Drosophila melanogaster: one gene and its partner. Changing the gene in region 2 together with the main gene of any one other region gives a genetic interaction. Each region holds a gene or a part of one and is shown on either strand. Other genes may lie near its edges.

The links.
Region 1: of Syx7 (region 2) and Tab2, changing one suppresses a phenotype caused by changing the other (phenotypic suppression), as found in Drosophila melanogaster (one study listed by BioGRID).

The regions. Positions count from the first base shown.
Region 1 is NT_033778.4:19,289,175-19,295,569, forward strand, and holds the start of Tab2 (TAK1-associated binding protein 2), read left to right. Parts: upstream 1-3,354; 5' UTR 3,355-3,686; intron 3,687-6,395. Other genes in the region: AANATL4 (arylalkylamine N-acetyltransferase-like 4), read left to right, coding at 1-626; Fkbp12 (FK506-binding protein 12kD), read left to right, coding at 1,015-1,051, 1,212-1,282, 1,344-1,562; mip40 (Myb-interacting protein 40), read right to left, coding at 2,120-2,923.
Region 2 is NT_037436.4:21,441,753-21,450,177, reverse strand, and holds Syx7 (syntaxin 7), read right to left. Parts: upstream 4,345-8,425; 5' UTR 4,155-4,344; intron 4,018-4,154; 5' UTR 3,924-4,017; coding exon 3,803-3,923; intron 3,736-3,802; coding exon 3,666-3,735; intron 3,316-3,665; coding exon 3,171-3,315; intron 3,098-3,170; coding exon 2,681-3,097; intron 2,623-2,680; coding exon 2,527-2,622; 3' UTR 2,050-2,526; downstream 1-2,049. Other genes in the region: Alp1 (alkaline phosphatase 1), read left to right, coding at 5,428-5,503, 6,078-6,337, 6,442-7,546, 7,656-7,807.

The DNA.
Region 1 (6,395 bases), on a different chromosome or scaffold from region 2:
AGGATTATGCACAGGTAAAAGCCTATATGGAGGCTGAGTACTACACATCGGAGCCTCTGTGCCAGTCCAGCGGCGAACCCGTTCACCAGCAGAACGAGGAGATCAACGACGCCTTCAACCAGTCGATAATCGCCGAGGGCACCAGCCTTTTGGCACTGGATGAAAACGATGGTGGCCGGATTGTGGGTCTAGTTCTGGCATGTGCCAGTTATCCCGATAATGTGAATGCAGGAACATTGAATTTGAAGCTCGAGAATGTGGAGGATAACGCTTGGGGTCGAATGTATCATTTACTAATGAAGGCCAAGCGCGAAGTCAATCTGTTTGAGCGCTACGACATCCCGAAGGCGCTCTACTCCCACGTGACCAGCGTGGCCTCGTGGAAGAGGGGCAAGGGCCTGGGCTCCCGCCTGGCCGCCACCCTGATGGAGCTGGGCCGATCGAATGGTTTCCCCCTTATGATGGCCTTCTGCACTAGCTTCTACTCCGCTCGCCAGAAGGGGGCCTTGGGCATGGAGTGCATCTATTCCATCGACTACGCCGACTATAAGGACGATGAAGGACGAGTGATCTTCACACCGGCAGCCCCACACACAAAGCTGCGAGTGATGGCAATCAAACTGTGACAGTTGATAACAAATAACTGAGTCGAGGAATTTAAATAAATTATATAACTATAGTTATGTTTATTTAATACTTAGCACACTTTTGGGGGACCTATACAAGTTGACCAATGACCAATGTGTCTCGGACTTTAAGATAAGAGGCAAGATCTTGCACTGCTTTATTCTTTCGGTTCATAGTAAACAATTCAAACGGACGCGCCAAAATACAAAAACGTCCTTATCGATAACTCGGAAAGCAATTGGTTTTGATAATTAATCAAATTGATGTGTGCGATAGTTTCCGCTCACCGACCATCGCCCACCGCTAGCTGTCATTCGGCGACGCGACGAACTGAAATCAACGTGCTTATTTTCCGCTCGGTAATTTGCCAGAAAAAAACTAATCGAAATGGGCGTACAAGTAGTTCCAATTGCTCCTGGTGATGGTGAGTATCCAATGATTGGGTTAGAATCCGCAAGAAATGCCGTAAACTACCGGCCTTTCTAACCTATTTAGTGCATTTTCGCAATGCACAATTCGGAAATACCTGCGACAATATGGTCGTCCCGCTCACACACATCCATTTTTGCATTCCCCGCCCGCAGGCAGCACCTATCCCAAGAATGGCCAAAAGGTCACGGTCCACTACACCGGCACCCTGGACGATGGCACCAAGGTGAGTACGAATCCCGATCCTCGCCATCCCCAGCTAATGATCCGCCTTGAATTCCACGCAGTTCGATTCGTCGCGCGACCGCAACAAGCCATTCAAGTTCACCATCGGCAAGGGCGAGGTCATCCGTGGCTGGGATGAGGGAGTTGCCCAGTTGAGCGTCGGCCAGCGCGCCAAGCTGATTTGCTCGCCGGACTATGCCTACGGTAGCCGTGGCCACCCCGGCGTCATTCCGCCCAACTCCACCCTCACCTTCGACGTCGAGCTGCTCAAGGTCGAATAGGCGCACAGGATGCCCAATGTGTATACCCCAAACCAAATCGCAGGGGGTTGCGGACCGGCGCACCGGCGACGAGCCGAAGAACATCATAATCGGAACCAGAACAATCCAGCAGCATTTGCCAACCCAAAATAATAATGATAACTTCATACACAGCTCTAAACTAGAACTAATTTAACCGCAAAGGGAACGCATCTTCTACCAATACAAATAAACATTTATTCAAGTCAATGACAAATGTCTTTCTTATCAAAAATCTTGGGATAATCCAATCAAATCAGCTGCGGTTGCCTTTCCGTGCTGCAATACAAATGCATTTCATATTATTTTTTAATCAGGAAAATATGCAAATATAAAAACGCTTTATCATTCTCTTGATAGACTTGAAGTGGTCTACTTGACAAATTTGATTTTATTTTATATAAGTATATAAAGTGTACAAGCATCTTATTTGCATATATATTCGATTTGGAAACAGGATTTTTTTTAATTCTTTGTGCACAATTAATCCAAATTATTTTTCATTTTCTATACCACTTCCAAAATCACCTAGATACGCTTCAGTTTTTGCAGACCAAGCTCATAATCTTGTCAATAACTTCATATCGCTCCTTTTCATACTTCTTGATATGCTTTATCCAGTGTCCGCGCACTTTCTTCCAGCGGTTCATATTGGAGGACAGAAGATCGGAGGTACTGGCACCTTGGAGAGCCTTTTCCCGCTTCTTGTCCTCCTGGCTGAACTCCAGACGAGGCGGAATTATGGGCAGATCCGTGGACTTGGCCTGCGGGAGCTGGTTGATCACCTTTATCTCGCCGCTTTTAATTTGGGACAGGATTTCTTCGCCGTTGTCCTCACGTTTGGTGGCCGTGAGTGAAGCATCTGTTTGAAATGCACCCACAGCTGGATTCTTGGGTTGATTTGCCATCCATGCGCGGCATATGGGGTACAAAGGAGTCTTATCCTGGTATTTGGACAGGTCCAAACTTCGCTCAAACAGGCGCATTACGTAGGTCTCGCCGGGCGCCTTCTGGGCGACTGCCGCTGCTCCAACGCTCTTCTTGTAGAGCACTCTCCTGGCCTTGATGCGTCCTCCGGCGCCGGCTGCGGCTGCACTCGAGGATGTCGAAGGCTTCTCGCTAGAGCCCGACGTGACCGTCTTGACTTTCGGATCTAGCTTTACCTGGTACTGACGCTGCTGTTGCTGCTGGATGAGCAGCTTCTTCGAGGGACGGCCCCGAATGGGCAAATCCGACTCTGCGTCGTCGTCCGGCGGCAGGTTTGTCGTCTCTGGTTTCTGCTCCTCACGGCGCGACTCCCGCAAGCGCAGGGCCGTTTCCTTCTTTTTCGGCACAGTCTTCATTTCCAGAAATCTTGTATTCGACACGAAAATTAAGGGAAAACAATTTCGAATGCCGAATCGGAAATCAAACGGACTTACGGCGCTTCACAACACTGAAACACCACTTCGCCACGCAACACTACATAAGTCAGTGGTATTTCAAAAAATACCATAAATTAAAGAAAACAAACGGTCTTGGCGCCTAACGCTAGCTTGAGAAATAATTCTTTGAATTATTTGTAGCTTAAATGAAAAGAAAAAAGAATAACATATATATTTTTAAACAAAAACTTAATACACATTAATATTTGACTATTCAAAAATATTTAATAGACTTTGATTGTTAAATTAATACTTTTGTAGATTAAAAAAAAAAAAACAAGGAAATGAAAGTCTTAAAAATTTGGTATTTCTCGATTTGGTAATTTTAACCCAAAACCTTTCGGGCTTTTCAACCCACCTTTTATGGTCACACTGCTGTTTTGTGATCGCGAAAAGAGCGACGTGAAAAATACATTTAATTAAGTTTACTGCGAAAAATAAAATAAATAACTAAATTAAAACAAAGCGGAGCTTTTGCGTGAACTGTGTGTGTAGTTGTGAGTGTGTGAGAAAAGAAAAACGAAAACAAAGCCAACGAGGAAATCGAAGGGGCAAAAGTGGAAAAGATTCAGATTGAAAAGCACCAAAATATCGAAATCACAATTTGAATGTCAAAGAACAAACGACAAAAAGAGCGGAGCAACAAAGGAACATTGGAAAAGTCAAGAATTTAACTTATTCGGTAAGGATGCAAATTGTAAATCTGTGGATTTTGCTTCTTCTGCTCACGCACACATCCACATACAATTGGGAAGTGCACAGGTGTGGGTGGATCTGCTCTGTGTGCAAATAACAAATTGTGAAAAACAACTCGCACACATGCAGATCACCTAGTGCACCAAATAAAAGCAATAAATAAACACATTTCCAAACGGGCAACAAGTTGTGAATGCGTTTTTTAAGGGGGAGGGGCCATACCAAGTTTCCCAACGTTTCACATTTTCAATCGATCTCGGTTGTTTTTATATATGTATGGATATTTTTTATCTACTATTGCGTAGCTGCCAATGTCACCTGTTTTTTGCTCTCTCTCTCTCTCTCTCTTGCGCTCTCTCCCTCCCTCTCGCTCGCACCCACGCTGGCTGTAGCTGGTTTTTATCTTGTGCCGTTAACACAGCCATTACGTGTCTCTTTCGCACTCGCACTGCACATTGGTGTTCGTGTGTCTGTGCAAGACTGCACGTAACTGTATTACCCATTCGTACATGCGTATACGTATTTCCGCCTATTGATAACGGCTGAAACTCCCTCGAAATGGCCGTCTTTTCGAAATATGTAAACGAATCGTTCGGGTACATCCCCCGACCACCACCCACCCACCGCCCACTCAACCCCCTCCAAGCGCTTCTAATCGCAAAGTGCAAATATTGATTTGCTATGTGTGCTTTTAGATTTTCTCCCACTATCAATAACAATAAGCGCTCTCTGTACGTTGTTTTTGCTTCGGTTTGGTTTCGTATTAAGAAAACAAGTTCACAAGTTTTTGCACTTGTTATGCACTGTAAGAAAAACGCAAGTTTTATTCAAGAGCTCCGCATTACCGCATTATATTGCCAATTGTGAAACTTTTATAATATTTATACTAGCAGCTTAGTTTTGTAACTTTCGGAAATAAAAAGTTTTGGTAAAACAAACAAGAAACATTTTATTTATTTTTTTAAGTGTTGATCATTGTTGCTGTTTCGTTTTGTGACTTTGTTTATGTGGCGGTTTTCTTGTAATTGCGGGAATTTCCCGGCATTTCAGCAGTTGAGAGTGCAAATATAAAGCAGAGAGAGAAACCCTCATCTGTTTGTGATTATCTGAATTCTTCTTCCGTATTTAAGCGTTAACTCTGCTTTTGAGCGACAAGGCTGTTAAATATTTTCAGCTATAACACCAAAATTACCCTTTATCTCGCAATATATTAATAAATACAAGTCTCCAAAAGACGTCATAAATTAAAACGCGATTTAAATGACGTTTAAAGCGACTTCTAATTTATGTATGTTTATCACGAACTAAAAATTTAATTACTTTATAAATTTTAAATTCTCAAGATAGTGAGCAACTATGTATGTTTTAAAGAAAAAATTGTTGGAGTTCCACAAAATTTCGTTTGAAAAATTGAGTTTTTATGTACCAAATATGCAAATCAAATGAAACTTAAAAGCTGACTTAGAAATCCTTTTGTTTATATGGGTGAAACTAAATAAATCCTTTTGTTTATGTAAATCACGTTCGATTGTGTGCTTATTCCACGCATTAATAACTGCCTTACTCCATGCACAGAGTACAGCTTTTTTGAATGTCATGCTGATATGACAGAGCTGAAACGCTCTTCTGACATAATAGATTAATACGTATAGACTCATTTTCATAACGTTGGTCCTTCTATTCAAATACTGTATCAGCAAAACTTAAGAATCTTACATCTAAGTGTTTAACCTACTTGAGTAACTACTGTACGGTGTATTCCTGCGATCTCAATGAAAACTTTCCCATCAATTTAAATCTATCTTATCGCCAGCAATTTTGTTGATATTTAGCTTCGGGAAGGGACGAGTTCAGGAAAATATATAGTATATGTGTGTGTACATATGTATGTCCCCTGTTGCGAAGAGACACAAATGTCGCGCGATAACGTGGGCAACCGCAGCACACCTGGTTGGATTTGGACATCGACTAAAAATAACTCCGCTTCGATTATTTTCACAAATTTGAAAAGGCAAATTGCGGCGATTGGAGGGTTCATCACAAGCCTCCAACATCGATAAATGAATACCGTGTATTAGTTATTATTTCAGAGGAGACAGGCGAGGTGTTCCACTTTGATTTTCCATAGCGATCGCTAAGTTCCATTGCCCCTCCGAGTTTGATTCCCATGCCCATATTCAATTCTAGAATTCGGCAATGACGTCAAGGCCTGACGTCTGCAGAAAATTCCGCAAAACGCCTCTTCAAATTATTGGCGAGGCAAGAAAAGCAAAAGAAAATCGGCGAGCGAGCAGCGAAATACAAAATAAAATTATTTTCGTTCCATTTTTCGTCTTTTGGTATTTTGTGTGGCTGCTTCCATTCCATTTCATGTCTCTGCATTTGATTTATAATTTTCACAATTCACATACTTTTCGTTGCTCTATCTCTTTTTTATTTAATTTCCGACTCGTTTTTTTTTTTTTTTTTTTTTTGCGACAAAGTGAAAGTTGTTTTCCATGTTATTTACTGCTGCCTCTTTCCTTCGTTTATTCCCTTCGCATTCCCTTTCCCGTTCTTTTCGTCTGTCCATATGTTTTGTGTTTCAAAACCAAGTTGAAGGTGCGGGAGGGACGCCATCTAGTACGTAGTTCCTTTCGCAATTATTTTTGTATTCAAGCATATTTTTGGCGATTTTTTGTTATTTATATATGTT
Region 2 (8,425 bases):
CCCCTTAACAGGTGAAAACGGAACAATCAAACGAAACTTTTGATTTGGTATTTTTGTTTTTAATAAAAATTCAAAAGATTTACAGCCCTCCACGGCAAGTATTTCCACTTAAGATGCTGTAAGAGCAGAAGAATCGAGCCACTACGTCTTCCATTCATAAGAACGCGTAATTAAGAATTTTTCCAAATAAAATGGGAGGCGCGGTAGCGTTGGTAGAGTTGGAAATGGGATAATAATAAGTTTATTGATTTGGGAAATGCCATAAACCGGATGTTTATCCACCACGCACAACAACCTCATCATTGCTACAATCATCAGAGTTATATGTACGTAGAAGGGAACTGATTGCAAAGCAACGTGCGAAATGTGCAGGGATTATCGGGGTTTAGGAGCCGGAAGATGCGCGATTGCCATTTCACAGTTTTCCCCTCTAAACTGCAATTTTCCCAGGACCAGAAATTTCAAAATCCTGGCTAGCAAGTTGGTAAGTCAATCCAGCGCTTACCAAGTTCCGGAATTTCCACTGGCCATTCTACGTTCCACTGCCATCCAAAGTCAAAACATGCGGCTTGTGTTCGGTCGCACATTATTATGCTGGGAAAATCACCAAAGACGGAGGCTGGATTTATTTGGACAAAATGACTTTGCAAATGAGATTCGGTGGCTATGTCCGTCGACCACCGAAGATGTCAATATTGTCATGGTTCCAGGTTTAGCGACTACGGCCTATGCAAACAGCAGCCTTTTGGCCAAGACAGCCGGACGACTGACTACCTGCTGTGTTTCCGTGGGCCATGTAGGTGTGCATAGTTTCTCTTAATTTCCAACACCTCCGCCACTCGAGCTCACAACGTGACCCATGGCCCCGGGTCGGGATTTGGTCCCGGTTTGTCCACTGCCCAACCTGCCAAGTGCCGCATGTAGTCATAATCGATGTGATTAGGCCGTGATGCCCGTGCAACAATCGGGGCCTAACCCTTGGCCCCACGGACGAGTAATCAATAATTCCCAGTCGACTTGGTCGGGCAGCTCGGTGACGTATTTGGACAACCACTGACAGCCAAGCGGACCAAAAGAAACAACCAGAAAATGGGTAAGAATTCCCTCAGGGGCATTTTCAGATACTCTGCGAACTCAGAAATATTTTGAAAATTAAACTCAATAATAGTTACGATTTTAGGTAAAAGAATTAAATTTACCAGCAAATATATCTAAGAATCAGATTAGGCCAATTATTAACATGAAAATATTACAGCGATTTAATAAATAACATTATAAATTATATATCATTACCACAATTATAATAGTAATTACTCACCTTTTAGTTTGAAAATAACACACTTTTCCCCATTTGAAATACCTAATCCACTCTCCTGAATGATTCAATATACCCCGCGAACCACAGGGCAGAGATCCGAAACGACTTGGGCCAGAAAAAACTGGATGACTTGGCGGGAAATGATTGTTGGCGAGCCCCGGGGCGAGTTCGAGAAGGAAATGAGCTGCACTTAAATGCATGCGAGAAAACCACTCGATGCCAACAAGTGGATAAGAAGCCACCACACAAATGATGCCCAAACGAACTATCAATGTCAGTGAATTGGCAAAAAATTTAAACTCAATTTGTATGCAGGCCTGCGGAGCTGGAATTTCAAATGTGGAGGAAGATGGGGTCCGGCGACGAGGAAACCCTTTAGCCCCGGCTGACACACCTCAACGATGCAGCAAGCTGAAGTGGGTCCACCGCATCCAGGTCTGTCGCGGCATTAATGTGCCATCGGAGAGTGTGCGCTCGCTGAACACATAGTCGGATTGGTACCAATGTTTTGGGATCGAGATCGGGTTGGGAGTCGGGAGATGGGAGCTCCTAAGCCGCTAAAGCATGCGTAACAATGGCCAACACGAAATCTTAATGATCGCTAAGCCAAGGAGGAGTCGATGACCATGCACTTCTCCGAATGCCCAGAAGAGCTGGCGAGTTCCATTCATTGATTCATTCAGGTCGGGCCCTAAATGAAGTGCTCCAAGTGTTTTCAACGCACGCAGGATCGATTTTCATGTTTATTATTTCATTTTTCGTACATGTGTGTATGCCATCGCATATATGGCTTCCTCTGCCTCTTAACTCTAAATACAATACAATACAATACAAAGCGCTGGCGAATGAGTTTCGGAACATAATTAGAATTTGAAGCCAACAGTTGTTAATCAATACTAATAATCAATATACAGGGTGCGTAATAATAAAAGTAGTACACATAAAATATAAAATTGTTTTTAAAGCAAATATAACAGATGCACGTGCCGGTGAATACTCCTCAAAACACTATATCTTCGTCTACGAGTCGCAGTTTTCGATTTCAGCCAGTATTGGAAGTTGGATTAAGGATTAAAGCCATAATCTCGCCTAAGGTCCAAAGGATTGGGTGGGGAATTACGGGGTTTAGGGGCCTGCATGCGGCAACTCTTGTCTTTTCACAACAATTTACTAGTTTGGTTTGAATCATTCGGAGATGCCGGAAGGCTCTAATTCTTGAACTGAAAAACGAGTATCAAGATGATGGCCAGCAGCACGGCGCTCAGGATGCCCACCAAAATAAGCTTCTTCTTGCGCACTTTGTTCTAATAAACAACATATTTAAATTATTTAAAATAATAACCTTGTAGGGGCGGCACTTACCCTGTAAGAGCTCGCCTTGCGCAGATTTTCCGTGCCCTGCGAGACAAAAATGCTAGTCTGTTCCACCTGCGACTCGATGGAGTCCACCGTCAGTCCCTGCTCGTAGACCAGGGCGCCAAGCTTCTTGTATATCTCGTTCACGCCCACGATGTTGTTCTCCAACTCCCGTATGACCTGCTCCTGTTCCTCGAGGGCCTGCAGGTCCGCCTGCTCCTCCATCTGAGTCTGCATCTGTTGCTGGTTTGATTTGCGATTGAAGAAGTTGTCCTCGAAGAAGGAGTTGTTGTCCTGCTGGCTGGCGCTACTGTTGGAGCTGCCGGTACGCGATGAGCCGGGTGGACGGGCGATGTTGTAGCTATCTCCGCGCGCCTGCCGCAACGCCGTCTTCTCTATGTCCGCCGTCTTGCGCTGAACAGACTAAAAATACCAATGATAAACAATCAGCATGACTCACAAAACCATTTGCTTATCTGGGAGAACAAAAACAAACCTGGAAGGCGGTCAGTGCCGCCGTGAACTCGTCCACGAGCCTATCCCGCTGGATCTTCAGGTGGCGCTCCTTGCACTTGTCCACCTCGTTGATTTGATTGTTTGTGTCGGTCACCAGCTGGTTGGTGTAGGTCATTATTTGGTGGCTGTGGAGTAAGGGATTGTTATTTTTATCGTGCGTTATACATTGATTTGATTTGTGAATCACACTGTGCTGATACGTTTAAACTTTCAAAACCAATGACTGACTACAATGTTATTTTGCTGTTGGTTTATGTGGTCGGTTGATGTGCGCAAAATGTATTAAAAGGCTGTATTGGCTTAAGAAGATTTTTAGACATTGTGAGTAAACACCCAATAGAGATCTTCACTATGTCTTTAGAATTTATGATTTGTCTGAGAGATATTCGAATAATCGATGTATATCTGCAATGGGTTCTATCTATGGGGACAGTTTAAATTCCAAACGAAGAGATCGTAATGATAATCATCTTACAGCTGCTTCTTGAGCTCCGGAGAATCTTGGGGCGTGTTCAGTTGATTGACCATGCGCTGCATCGTGGACACTGCGAAAGAGACAGAAACCTAGATTAGTCATAGGCGAAAGTTGGCAAGTGCTTCGACGCCACTCACCATTCTGCTGCACCTTCTGGATGCTGGTGGCTATAATCTGGGCCAGCCTTTGGAAATCTATTTCGCTTAGGCCACCTCCTCCCCCGCCGCTTAGACCATTCTCCATATGCTGTAAGTCCATGCTTTCGTAGGCAGACACTTTGATGACCTTCGAGTTATCGCTGGAGACAAGTTGTTCCTGGAGAGACAGACAATCGAATTAGCCCCGTGGCCCACTTATATCACATTCGCTTTTATGCGTCTCAGCCAGGTTCTTGATTCTATATTCTATATTCGTGCTTGTTTGTTAGTTTGTCTGTTTGTCGGAATGTTTGCAATTCGCATTCCCTTTGTTTGCTGCACAGCCACACACCTTTTGTGGTTGCCCTAGCTGTCGTTGGTGACCTTCGCCGGTGACCTTGATCTTAGAGCATTTCCTTCGCACTTTTTACGCGTTTCGCAATCTGAAATTTGTTGATTTAAGTAGGCGGAATGTTCGCAAAACTGAAATTTTAGCTAGGTTTTTACAACAATTGGAATGGAACTGCCAACTTGTGAGAAAGTCACTTTCGACTAATACCCAAAAGTGCCTTAGCGCGTGATGCGTTTAGCATCACTTCCTTGCTACGCTTTACAGCACTTCAATTATATCGATATCTGGCGCGGCATTCAAATAGCAGATATATAGAACTGCATTTTAATTATATTCTTCCCCCTATATTTTGTCTCGAAAATGTATATAAGTCCTGAGATTTATTATTGAAAATCGATCCATGTCTAAAATGAACTGCTTAATGTTATTATTCAAAATTATAAATTATTATTTTGCACTTTTTCTCCAAAATTAAAATGTTAGATTAGGAAAATGTCGTATAGAAATGAAAATGACCAACAATGATGCCTTATAAAACAAATAAGTCGAATTTTAGACAGTTTTCCTTCCGTTCAATAAATATGTTCATACCAAATTTAATAATAATGTAGGTATACAAAACTATTTTGCTTACCCAGAATGTTATTCAAAACTTAAAATTTAACATTGTACAACTCAGGGTATTTGAAACCTGTTTAGCAGAAATAAAATTGAAGATTATTACTTTTCTTAAAAAAGTCAAATAACTGGTAGACAAAATAAGTGCAACTCGTTTATAAAAAAAATCAAAAGCAACTTAATTCAAATTAACGTTACAAATTAGTGTATTGGAGATATTTATCAGTATCCGGTGTTTGGCACGGTTAATGAACTTTAGATCGCAGAATGAATTAGGCTGCTTCGATGCATCCACTAATTACATCATCTCCTACTGCGATGCAAGATATTATGCAAATGACCAATGCAACGAACCTGATTTTTGGAGAACATCATTTTAATCTAAGCTGTGCTGGCTGCATAATTTGAATAAGGGCATAAATGCCTTTCTTTCATCCCGAAATTCCGGTTGGTAGGTGTATTTAGAAGCTTTATAATACAGGGACGGGTTTTAATTTATTGTCTCAGTGTTTTTTTATAATTCGACTCGCATTTTCGGTCCCTGTCTTACCGGGCTCGTATAAATAAGCCTCCAACTGCGAAATGCGGCTTAGTCGATCCGTAGACTTCGTAACGCCCCGACCAGTCGAAAGTTAGTTCATCAAAATTCCGTGCGATGCGTGCTCTCCGGTTCTTTGCGGCTCTTGCCCTCCAACTCACGGCCTGTAGCAGCCAGTACAAATATGGGCCAGGTGCGTAACGTCAAGACCGAGATCAGAAACGGGCCCAAAAGACCCGAAATGAATAAATGAAAAACGAGTGAGAGTGTGCCAGGTCGAAAGCAAACTCAAAACATATGCAGAATTGATTAATCAAGTGCTAAACGGAGTATAAAAGGCGTCAGCAAAATACTCGTAAATTGAATTAAATATTTGACACCCGCTAACAGAGCTGTCAAACATCACTTTTTCCGAAGGAGAATGTTTTAACGAAAGTGGATATAAGACTAATACTTTAAAATTTAAATTTGAATTAATTTTAATGCTTAATTTCCATAGGTTTCTTTCGGTGTTTTATTTATGTGCTATCTTCTGAAAGCAATTTCCCTTTTTAATGATTAATTCGAAAGTGGAGTGGAAAACAATGGCAATTGTGTCTGTGCTTTTGTTTTGTAAAACGAAACATGTGCTTGGAATTGATAAATTCTTGAGGTTGTACTTGAAATGTGTATGCATATCGGCTAGTAACAAAAAATGGTTTCAATTAATCAGAATAATATGCATTCTTAATTTATAATGAAATAAGCTAAAATCGCATTACTTTCAGAGCAATCCTGGGACCTCGACTCTATTTCCGAGTTGAAGAGCAAGGAGTTCTGGTTTCACGACGCCCAGCGCACGCTCTACAATAAGCTATCCACTCCACCAAACCAATATCGTGCCAAGAATGTCATATTTTTCCTGGGCGACGGTATGTCCGTTCCCACGGTAACCGCAGGCAGGATCTTCGATGGACAGCTGCGTGGAGTGGTGGGCGAACGGAATCGTCTGGAGTTCGAGAAATTCAACTATGTCGGTCTGTCCAAGGTACTTAGAAGTCAACGAAGTCATTTGTTATCTCAATAAACTGCTAATAAATTTATTAAGTCCGTTAATAACTAGACAGTAATTACGCCCTTCTGTCATTGTAGACTTATTGCGTCAATAAGCAAGTGGCTGACTCCGCCTGCACAGCATCGGCCTATCTGTCGGGGATCAAGGCGAACTATCTGACCATCGGAGTGACAGCCGATGTGGAGTTGAACGACTGCAGGGGATCGCGCTTGCCGCAGAATAGGCTCTCCTCGATTGCCGCCTGGGCGCTTAAAGGTAGCAAATCCGCTGGATTGGTGACCACCACTCGGGTTACCCACGCCAGTCCGGCCGGAGTTTATGCGCACACTTCGAATCGCGATTTCGAGAGCGACTACGACGTGACCAAATTGGGTCAAAATCCAGGAAACTGTCCGGATATCGCCCAGCAATTGATAGACGGAGATGTGGGCAAGCGACTGCGTGTGGTCATGGGCGGTGGAACCATTAAATTCTTGCCCAATACCACGAACGATGTGTTCGGAAACAAGGGCCAGCGGTTGGATAATAGGAACCTCATTGAGGAATGGCAACAAACAAAGCCGGGTAATGCTAGGGTGGTGTTTAGTCGTACGGATCTCCTGAACAATGATGCGCAGAACACTGACTTCCTGCTGGGGCTCTTCAATGCCTCTCACTTGGCGTACCACATGGACGACAGCATAGACACACCCACGCTACCCGAGATGACGGCAGCGGCCATAAATGTGCTTTCCCGAGATCCAAACGGGTATTTCCTTTTCGTGGAAGGCGGTCGAATCGATCACGCCCATCATGAGACCAAGGCCAAGAAGGCCTTGGATGAAACCGTTCAGTTTTCGGACGCAGTGAGAAAGGCACGACAACTCACCAATCCCTGGGACACCTTAATTGTGGTGAGTGCGGATCACGGACACACGGTCACGATCAGCGGCTATCCGGATGTTAACAACAGCATAGTAGGACTCAATTCCGAGCTAAGTAATGTGGACCAGCTGCCCTACACGTCCATCTCATATGCCAACGGCCCGGCCTACGAGAGATTCTACAAATCGACGGACGGAGTGGTGGAGCGCGTTGATCTCCGTAACCTGGACTTTTCCAAACCGGATGCCATCTATCCACATGGAGTGCCCATGACCGAGGAGACACACGGCGGTGGCGATGTGGCCGTCTATGCTCATGGTGAGTTCATGTTTTTTTGGTTTTTAAGTTTTTTTTTTTAGATGGGTTTTGAATGATATATATAATCTTAAATCCAAGCATTTAATCAAAACTCTTGAAATGTATAAAGTTGTGGAATATCTTCTTCAAGGTCCATGGTCTCATCTTTTCACTGGAGTTTACGAACAAAGCACCTTGCCTCATTTGATGGGCTTCGCCTCTTGCTTAGGACCTGGAATTACATATTGCGATCTGCAGCCAAAAGCAAGATACTCTCCCTAGAAAATCCCCTAGGAATAAATATGTTTAGAAATTGAATAAAATGATCTATTCTTAAAACAAATTGCGGAGATTCTAGAATCGCCATATTTAATCTTAACTTTTTAGCTTATATAGTTCCTGAATAAAGAGAATAAGCAAAGAAGCAACAGCACTTCCCAAAATTATTAATTAAAAAACAGACAAATTACATTACAAAATCATCTCCCTGATGTCAATTGATAGACCCCCAAATAATGAAAACTTAACCGATATAGAGCTGCGGTTAAAATAATAGCACTACTGCAGGTGGAAAGTTGATTTCCTAAAAAAAAATTATTAAATGTTTTTTTTTTAAGTCAGATTGCATGAATAATAAGTACCATATGTGGTCTCTCTGAGCAATAAATTTTTACTCTCTCAACGTAACGGTTCTTTTTGTTTTTGGGCACTTGCTGCAAAAGTGCGCGAAATTAGGCGGTAACAAACATAGCACTGACCACGTATTTGCTGAATAATATTAATAGAAGTGATTGCTTTGGGTTTTTTTTTCCACACATTTTATAAAAAGGAATTGAATTGAAGGTTTTAATTGAATTTTTTCCAAACGAAGGCCCAAAATTCTCAAGTCATGGGTCGCAT